3 linked regions of the Mus musculus genome follow. The protein of the gene in region 1 interacts with the protein of each later gene in a pairwise test. Links are inferred from orthologs where the notes say so. Each region holds a gene or a part of one and is shown in the gene's direction. Other genes may lie near its edges. The genes, in order: Ywhag, Fam53c and Tnfaip3.

Region 1 (3,653 bases):
TGTGAACTGGCCTGTGGCTGACCATCCAGGTGCTTGCTCTCTGCAAACCGCTGTTGAGGTTCTCGGACGGAATGTAAAGAGTTAAGGAGGAGACTGGAGGGTCAGACCAAAGAGACCAGACAGCCGTGGAGGTGGTTGTTGATGAGGAAGGCCGAGGCTTCATGGGGAGTCCTGGTGCTGAAGACCGTCTTTCCATACTTGTAGCACGTACTTCATCATGAATTAAGCACTCCACAGTGCCTCAAGCTTTTAATCCAACCGTGCCAGAGAAGGCCAAGTGTTCTAGGTCAGCCAGGACTACATTGTAGTGAGACCTTTAGGTCTCAAACACCTAAAGATACTCGGGAACATGCAGAAATCTTTTTTTTTTTTTTTATGGGTATGATAGTCGGACTATAGCTCAGTGGGTAGAGGGCCAGGCTAGCATGCCAGAGGCCCTGGGTTTGATCCCTAATACCACCTAAAAAGTAATGGTGGGGCCACACAGATACATCAGTCAAGGCCTAGAGAAATGCAGCCGCTTGTTCCTCAGGTCTCCTAACAGGCTCTTGTCTTCTGGGGATTTTGTACTGACTAAGAGGTCCGCAGAACTCAGCAAGAGGTAGGCAGGTTGGTCCACACTTCACAGTCAGCCCACCAGCACAGAGCCTAGAGCACAGCGAGTGAGAGTTTGAGGCAAGGTTGTCTGACTTGTTTGTTTTTTGGGGTTTTGTTTTGTTTTTTTCCTTGTCAACTTGACACAATCTGTGGGCAAGGCGTTTTCTCTCTATGAGTGATAGGGGCTGGGGGTGGGGAGCAGGAAGTGAGGCTCAGCCCACTGTGGGTGGTACCAACTCCGGGCTGCTGGTTTTGGGTTGTATAAAAATGTCTGCCGAGTGGGAAGCAAGCCACCAAGCAGATCCCTTCCCCCATGTCCTGACTTCTCCCAGTAATGGAGTGTGACCTGAGGGTTATAAGAAGAAATACTACTGCAGGGAGGTGGTTGCACACGCCTTTAATCCCAGCACTTAGGAGGCAGAGGCAGGCAGATTTCTGAGTTCCAGGACAACCTGGTCTACAAAGTGAGTTCCAGGACAGCCAGGGCTACACAGAGAAACCCTGTCTTGAAAAAACCAAAAAAGAAATACTACTAATTATGTGTTTATTTATTACAGCAGCAGAACCTAACTGAGGTGGTGTCAGTCTATATCCCTCCAGGGCCTGTGGGCACAGGGTGGCGACAGCATTATAGCCACAGGCTTCCCTTGTCTAGCTTGTAGTCCCGATGGAACTGGGGCCTCATTCTTAACTCCTGCCGTTCACTAGGAATGAGATGGTTAATCTCGGGTACTGGGCTCAGGGCGAGGGCGGGGTGCAGTGCATATGAGGTCCTGGGTTCTAGCTCCAGCACTAAGTGGCTGCCATACTTGTCCCCTCTTTTTTCTTTTCCCAGTACTGCAAGTTGGAACCTAGCATGCATAGCTGCAGCCCCAGTCCTGAGAACTGTTGTAGCCATCAGATGGTATTAAATCCACTTCCCTAGTCTGCTAAGATTCCACAGTGGTCAGGATCTTTAGTTGGTCTTTTCCTTTCCTCCTTTTTTGTTTTGTTTTGAGACAGGATCTCTATGTAGCTCTGACTGCCCTTGAGTTTATTATGTAGAGCAGACTGGCTTCAGACTCAGATATTTTATGTCTATGGCTTTTACCACATGTGCCTGGTACCTGCAGAGGCCAGAAGAGGACATTAGATCTTCTAGACTTGTAGTTAGAGATGGCTGTGAGCCACCATGTGGGTGCTAGGAAGTGAACCCCAGGTCCTCTGGTAGAGCAGCCAGTGCTCTCAAACTCACAGAGATTGCTTGCCTGCCTCAGCTTCTCAGGTTGGGTTTAAAGGTGTGCGCCACCAACCTCCTGGCTTCTCCAGTCCCATTTTAAATTGGGGGGGGGGGTGTTTCAAAACAGGGTTTCTTCATTTATTTATGTGTGTTGGGGGAGTTTATGTGATATGTGGAGGTCAGGGCCAACTTGAGAATTAGTTCTGGCCACTGTAGATCCCAGGGGCAAACCTGTGTTGAGGCTTTATAATAGGCCACTTCACCTTCTGAGCCATCCTGCCTGGCCCAGTCGCCCAGTGTCCACTTCCTGTCGATGTATCATCTGTTTGTTGTTAGCATAGGAGTAGAAAAACTTCCTTTTTGCTCAAAAGTCAACTTTTAAGGGTGACTCATTCTTTCCCAGAGGGACCATGACTCAAGTAAGAGCACTGGTCAGCTTGAGGATGCCTGCTCTCTTCCTGAGAACATGGCCATCTCATGCTGAGAGTGCTAGGTGTCCATGCCACGGGAGAGGATTTGATTTGTCCTTAGGACAGGCTGACGGTTCTTCCGTGGAGGACACTGGTGCTTGAGACTGTAGAAGCCACCTGTGCTGCTCCTGTCACTCACTCCCCTTCCTCCCAGCCAGAGTGCAGTGTTTCTGCCTGCTAACGGTCTCCATGGTGCATGGACCTGTTGTGGGTTGATGTAAAGATAGCTTCACCCCATTGTCATCACCTGTCGTAACGGTGCTCGGTCCTTCCTCCTCCAGGTGACCGAGCTGAACGAACCACTGTCCAATGAGGAACGGAACCTCCTGTCGGTGGCCTACAAGAACGTGGTGGGGGCTCGCCGCTCCTCCTGGAGGGTCATCAGCAGCATCGAGCAGAAGACGTCTGCGGACGGCAACGAGAAGAAGATCGAGATGGTCCGAGCCTACCGGGAGAAGATCGAGAAGGAGCTGGAGGCCGTGTGCCAGGACGTGCTGAGCCTGCTGGACAACTACCTGATCAAGAACTGCAGCGAGACCCAGTACGAGAGCAAGGTGTTCTACCTGAAGATGAAAGGGGACTATTACCGTTACCTGGCAGAAGTGGCCACCGGGGAGAAGAGGGCGACCGTGGTGGAGTCGTCTGAGAAGGCCTACAGCGAAGCCCACGAGATCAGCAAGGAGCACATGCAGCCCACCCACCCCATCCGGCTGGGCCTGGCGCTCAACTACTCGGTTTTCTACTATGAGATCCAGAACGCCCCGGAGCAAGCGTGCCACCTGGCCAAGACCGCCTTCGACGACGCCATCGCCGAGCTCGACACTCTGAACGAGGACTCCTACAAGGACTCCACTCTGATCATGCAGCTGCTCCGAGACAACCTCACGCTCTGGACGAGCGACCAGCAAGACGACGACGGCGGTGAAGGCAACAACTAAGGCCCCAGGTGGACTGGCAGCGCCCGCTGATGCTACTACTGCAGTCTTTATTTTTTCCCATGAGTTGGGGGTCGGGTGGGGGAGGGGAAAGGGAGGGGTGACCTTCCCAGGGAGAAACCCACGACTGTCCTGTCTTTGATTGCCTCTTTGACATTTTTGCCAAAATACCACTAGTGGAAAGTCAGGCTAGCTATGCTGGTATGGGAGTAGCAGCCTCACACAGACGTCCGGACTGTTGTGCAGGCTCGGAACGAGCAAGCGGAGCTGTCTGCCTTTAGTTTAACTTATTGCTAGACGGTAGGGTTCTAAGAAGAAAAACCGGAGATGGATGGCCCTCATTCAGTGCGTTCTGTGGTTCCAGTAAGGATTCTTCTGTCCATGCCCTTGTCCTCAGTTCCGTGGCTGTTTTCTCTCTTTGGCTGTGCTTTC
Region 2 (3,653 bases), on another chromosome or scaffold:
CTCCTATCCACTGAGCCATCTCTCCAGCCCCGAGATTCCTGTTTTCTATTCTTTACAAAGGACTTCTGTTCCTCATGCTTACACAGCAGGCGCTTGCCTGCCTAGCCACCTCCCCAGAACAGCAGTAAATAACTTTTTCCCTAGGTCATTTGTGATATGTGAAAATACATCTGAAATGCAGTTCCTCAATTGTGCATTAGCCCAAGGCCTGTGGTCATGAGCTAAGTAAGACAAGCAGAAGCTCTCTAGCCTGTGTAGCCGGGCTGCCTCATATCTATCCTGAGCGCCTGGCAAGGGAGGCGAGTGGGCAAAAGCTGCCAGTCGCTCGCTCTCTCTCTCTCTCTCTCTCTCTCTCTCTCTCTCTCTCTCTCTCTCTCTCTCTCTCAGAAGCACTTGTTGAAAGCCGGTTTCCGTCCTGAGGGTCCGTGCTCCCTGCCTTGGGATGGACAGGAATGGGAAGAACTGTTGACTTCTGTCATCAAGTCTCACTTCATATTACTTTGATTTGTGCCTTTTCTAGAGAATTCTTGAAAAAACTTAGAAAATAACTCACTATTTTCCCTAAATTGGTCTTGCATGGGAATATAGAGGCAAGGGGTTGAGCAGCTCTTGAGAGGTGGAGGCAGGAGGCTATATAGCAAATTTGAGGCCAGTTTGGATTACATGAGACCCTGTCTCAAAGAAGGTCACAATTTGGGGGGACTGGAAAGATGGCTCAGTTGGTAAAGTGCTTGCGTTGTAAGCATTTGGTTTGTTTGGGTCCCCAACATCCACATCAAAGCCTGATATGGTGGCACAGTCTATAATAAGCCTGATATGGTAGCACAGTCTATAATAAGCCTGATATGGTGGCACAGTCTATAATTCTAATACGTTAGTACCTAAAGAGGTAGAGACAGGTTGGCCAGCCAGCCTATCCAAATTGATGAACAACAGGTTCAGTGAGAGTCCCTATCTCAAAAAAGGGGGTGGAGAGAGCAGGCAGAATGTCATAAAGCACTTGGTAACCTCAGTTTCCTCCATAGGACCCACTTGGTAGAAGGAGAGCTATTTCCCCAAGTTGTCCTCTGACCTTCACATACATGATTGTGATGTTAGTACACATAACACATGCATATACCGATAAACAAGTGTAATATAAAAAATAAAGTGAGGTAGGTAGTGATTGAGGGAGACATCAGATGTTGACCTCTGGCTCAACATGTGTGGGCTCTTATCCATTCTCACATGAACATGGGTACACACGTGAATAAGAACGTACACACACTCCAGAAGTTGCAGCTGTGGTTAGAATGCAGTCCAGATCATTTCTTTTAGCCCATTTCCTTTTCTTTTCTTTTCCTTACCTTTGGTAAGCACAGGGAGTTAGCCCAGGTTGGCCTCAATTCAATATGTCGCTGATGATTAATGTGAACTCCTTATTTTTTCACCTTCATCTCTGGATTCCTGGATTATAGGACTGAGCCCTACCCGGCTTGGTCCTCCAGTCTTTGGCTTTAAAAGAAGGCCTCAAGCCAGGCAGTATGGTGCACACCTTTAATCTCAGCACTTGGAAAGTAGAAGTAGGTAGATCTCTGAGTTTAAGGCCAGCCTGCTCTATGTACTCAGTTTTAAGGCAACAAGGCTACATAGTAATACATAGACTAAAAAAAAATAATTTTCAAAATTGAATAATGAAGGCCTAAGGAGACAGGAAGCAGAGTATATACACAAACAGATACAGAGGGACAAACCAGCTCAGAGGCTTAGGGTTTCTCAAACACGTGTTCTGCCATCAGACCCGCAGACATCCCATTGCCTTTCCTAGGAGTAACAGTGACTTCCTCCCCGCTTTGACTACTTCTCCAGACAATGCTGCCTGCCTTACCCCTGAAGACACAGAGAGAGGGAAAAGGCCGGAGGAGGAGAGCAGGCTGGGAGCAGGGAAGGTTAGGTTGTCCGTAGAGCTAGGGGGTGAGTGGGAATAGACACACAGGTTGGTTTGTCTAGGGTTTTTGGGAGTTTTTGTTTTTTTCCCCCAAGACAGGGTTTCTCTGTGTAGTCCTGGCTGTCCTGGAACTCACTCTGTAGACCAGGCTAGCCTCGAACTCAGAGATCCACCTGCCTCTGCCTCCCAGGTGCCAGGATTTAGAGGCATGGCATTACCACTTCACAGCTCATACAGGTTTCTTGATTGACTGCATTTTTGAGGAGGAGTGGCAGACAGTGTATAAACATTCTTGGTGCCAGGTGGGTTCTCAGGCTGCAGGTAGCATGGTGTGGGTGGGTTTAGATCCTGTTCTGTTCCCTTAATAGCTGTGCCTGTTAACCTTGGACAAGCACAGTCATAGTACTTCCTTCATGGAGACTTTTGAGAAATTACATTCTGTGGTACAGTAGCTCTTAGAATATGTTAGCCATTAACCCTTTTCATTATGCATGCCTTTCAGAAGGTGCTTCCTGGAGGGGCCTGCCCCACTGTTCCTGTGCTGAGTTCCAGGACAGCCTCAACTTCAGCTACCATCCCTCAGGCCTAAGCCTGCACCTCAGACCACCCAGTCGGGGAAACTCCCCCAAGGAGCCGCCCCTCTCCCAAGTACTGAGCCCCGAACCCCCAGACCCAGAGAAGCTTCCTGTGCCCCCTGCCCCTCCATCCAAGAGGCACTGCCGCTCACTCTCGGTGCCTGTGGACCTGTCTCGCTGGCAGCCGGTGTGGCGGCCTGCCCCCTCCAAGCTGTGGACTCCCATCAAGCACCGGGGCAATGCTGGAGGGGGTGGGCCGCAGGTGCCTCAGCAGAGCCCTCCGAAGCGGGTCTCCAGCCTCAGGTTCCTCCAAGCTCCCAGTGCCTCGTCTCAGTGTGCCCCAGCCCACAGACCCTACAGCCCTCCTTTCTTCAGCCTGGCCCTGGCCCAAGATTCCGCTCAGCCCTGCGCCACCTCCCCTCAGAGTGGCTCCTGGGAGAGTGATGCAGAGTCCCTGTCGCCCTGCCCACCCCAGCGCCGCTTCTCCCTGTCACCCAGCCTGGGCCCACAGGCGAGCCGCTTCCTGCCCTCTGCCCGGAGCTCTCCCGCGTCTTCCCCAGAGCTGCCCTGGAGACCCCGAGGTCTCCGAAACCTTCCCCGAAGCCGCTCACAGCCTTGTGATCTGGATGCCCGCAAAACTGGTGTCAAGCGGCGTCATGAGGAAGACTGCAGGCGCCTTCGGCCTTCCTTGGACTTTGACAAGATGAATCAGGTGGGACTGGCAGACCAGAAGCTGTTTAAACATCTCCTAATTCCCTACCTTCTGGCAAGGCCTCCCTGGGAACTCTTCTGTCTAGAGTTTATACAAGAAAACCACCCTGGCAGTATTGAATTTTAACCTTTAATGTCTTCTGCCCTGTCAAGTTAGTCCTTAGTATTCTAAAGAAACTAGACTGAGGCCTTAAGCCTTCAGACAGGGATCCTAATTGTCCTGCCAGAGGCACTTTTCCTCTTCTCTGAGAACTCTAGACCACAGGATTCCTGTCCTCAGTGTCTCCTCTGCAGTCTCAGGGCTGGTTTTGTTCCCTGGCTTCAGTGCCCCCTGTCAGCCTTTGGGAGCTTAAGCAAGATGAGCAGTGGCTTTCTAAGCCCTAAGCTGAGAGCAGCCACTGTGGGTGACTTGTCCCCTTTTGCCATAGTTTTCCTTCCAG
Region 3 (2,654 bases), on another chromosome or scaffold:
AAGAACATTCTGGCCTGTCGCAGTGAGGAACTCTGTATGGAGTGCCAGCACCTAAGCCAACGAGTAGGTTCTGTGGCCCACCGGGGTGAGCCCACGCCTGAAGAGCCCCCTAAACAGCGCTGCCGGGCCCCTGCTTGTGATCACTTTGGCAATGCCAAGTGTAATGGTTACTGCAATGAGTGCTACCAGTTCAAGCAGATGTATGGCTAAGTGCGAACACATTGACAGGTCCAGCAAGAAGGAGCCTCAAACTGCCATTCACAGTGGTACTGTGATCCAGACCCCTGAGTGCCACAGGAAGGGTAGGCCCTGGGACAGTGGCTTCAAGTGTCTTTGAGCAAGTAGGCAAGATAAGCTCTTCCTTCGTCACAGCCATGACCATCAGGTTAGTAACCGAGACTTTGCCCTGGTGAGCTGAGAGTAGACCTGGTTACCGGCAGTGCATGATGTCAGGGTCAGCCTGAAGCTATTGCTGCTCGTCTACCAGGAGGATGTGGAGATCTTTAGACACGAAATGCGTGCTAGGACTGGCAGCAGTTCCTGAGCCTGGCTGCCAGGCAACAGGAAGAAAGGCGTATGGGAAAGTAGGATGGAGACTGGAACCATCCTACTGCTGCCAGCTGGAAGCTTTTCTCAGAGAGCCAAAGCTGAATTCTCAGAGCTCCAAGGCCCTCCACAAGATGCTAGAGGAAGCTCAGGGAAAAACAGGACGTAGGCGGAGCACATCTGTGGTCAATGGGCTTCCCTATCTGCCGACTTGGCTCCCAAGGTTCTGCAGGAAAGCAGACCTGCACACAGATCCCGTGGCTGCTGAAAAGACACATGTTCACATGGAGACAAACCAAGCTGCTCGCTCTCGGCTGTATGCACCTTCTAGACAGCAGAACGTCTGGTGGGAAGACATGCCAGTGTTGGCCATTGTCTCCCATTCCAAAGAGAATAACTTTGAACTGAGGGTGTGTATCAGAGTATGTACATATGTAATATACCCTTATATTATGTATGAGGGATTTAAAATATTGAAATGGTTTCCTAGTGGTAGTAGGAAGACTGAATAAGAACAACCTATTTTCTGGTTGTTGTCAGCTTGCCCCTGTCTATACAGCTTGTTACGTGAATTCAACAAGCTGTCTTCTTAACGGGAGCCCTCATTCTGGTTTATTTATTATGAACTTCCAAGTTATTTAAATGAAGATTTCCTTCTGCAGTATTTTCTTGAGATAACATATTTGCTTTCCACCATGTCCTGGGGGCCTGGTTAGTCCCTGGCCATGGAGTGTGGTGGGATGGCTGTCTTCTCTCTCCTTGTTACCTCCCTAGGAAAGAAGGGGTTGCTTTATGGATAAGCCTGTAGAATCGGCTGCTTCCTATGACTCCCTGGCTGCACAAGAAGAAATTGTCTGTCTTCCATATATGCTTCTAAGTATCCTACCTCTTTGAAGAAAAGATAGGGATGGAGTGAGGTGACAGTGGGAAGGGACACAACTACATGGCCTTTCATGACCCTGGCTTACTGTGTAAATGCTGTGCCCTTGGGTACTGGATAGGAACACTGAGAAAGCAAAGCCAATAGCCGTGAGGACGAGGAAGTTTCTGCCACTGCTTGCAGCTTTTCTGTGTGCTTTGGACTTGCTTTAGGAGGGAAATATAGCTTTGTAGAGATAAAGGCTGACATCTGGGGTCTAGCCTAGCACCTGAAGATACTTGTGATGTCTAACTCTGCATAGCCTTTTCTCTTCATATCTGCGGCCTATCTTTTCCCCTTACATATGTCTTTGTCCTTCTTTCCCAAAGATGTCAAATACAATGCAGCATTTTCATCTTGTTCTTTCAAAGTTAATAGTCTATTATTTTATGTCTATTGATTTTCATTGTTAATGTGAAATGGTTATTTATACTTATAGAAAGTTTGTGAAATTTGCACAGTTGTCTTTCAAAGGATAGGATCTATCTTTTTTGGACTTCAGATTGTTTTAAAGAACTGTAACTTCACAAAAGTCAATATTAAAAAATAAATTATTTAAGAACAAATTCTGATGCTTTCTGTTAATGAGTGCTGGAAGAAGATAGGCTCAGATGTGAAGAATTTGATGTATATCGAGCCATGGGTGAAACTCTTACCCATGGAAAGAATGATATCTTCTGAAAAATAATTGGGGTTGGAGAGATGGCTCAGTCCATAGTTGCATGCTACTCGAGCATTAGGCTCTGAGTTTAATCTGTATTGCCTGTATACAAGCTAGATGTGGTGACATATGCATATAGTTGCACATGCATGCACACTAAGAACATGCACGCACGCGCGCGCACACACACACACACACACACACACATGAAATAATCAGTGCATGAGAGTAAGGATATGTACTCCAGTGCTGCAGACCCTCTGGGTCCCTTTGTCTGTGTGGAAAGGGTCTCTAGTCGCAGGTGGGCAAAGAGTTGGCAAATGACAGACAGGCCAACATGCAAGATTGTGTAGAATCTGAATGTAATTTGTCAAATTGAGCATCAAACTTTTTATACAGAAGAAAATAGGGAAGTTAGGTGATACATCGGCAAGGTACAAATGAGGTTACCGGATGCTTAATGACTTTTACACAAAACAGAGGAATCTAAACACAAAGACTGGCAGGAACTGGGCAATAAAACAACTG

Evidence for each region.
Region 2: the proteins of Ywhag (region 1) and Fam53c interact in binary tests that used the Homo sapiens proteins (3 or more experiments, as listed by UniProt). The link is inferred for Mus musculus from reciprocal best matches to the Homo sapiens genes YWHAG and FAM53C.
Region 3: the proteins of Ywhag (region 1) and Tnfaip3 interact in binary tests that used the Homo sapiens proteins (3 or more experiments, as listed by UniProt). The link is inferred for Mus musculus from reciprocal best matches to the Homo sapiens genes YWHAG and TNFAIP3.

The regions. Positions count from the first base shown.
Region 1 is NC_000071.6:135,910,566-135,914,218, reverse strand, and holds part of Ywhag (14-3-3 protein gamma), read left to right. Parts: intron 1-2,567; coding exon 2,568-3,224; 3' UTR 3,225-3,653. UniProt on the Homo sapiens protein: Adapter protein implicated in the regulation of a large spectrum of both general and specialized signaling pathways. Binds to a large number of partners, usually by recognition of a phosphoserine or phosphothreonine motif.
Region 2 is NC_000084.6:34,765,739-34,769,391, forward strand, and holds part of Fam53c (protein FAM53C), read left to right. Parts: intron 1-2,429; coding exon 2,430-3,214; intron 3,215-3,653.
Region 3 is NC_000076.6:19,000,287-19,002,940, reverse strand, and holds the end of Tnfaip3 (tumor necrosis factor alpha-induced protein 3), read left to right. Parts: coding exon 1-210; 3' UTR 211-2,031; downstream 2,032-2,654. UniProt on the Homo sapiens protein: Ubiquitin-editing enzyme that contains both ubiquitin ligase and deubiquitinase activities.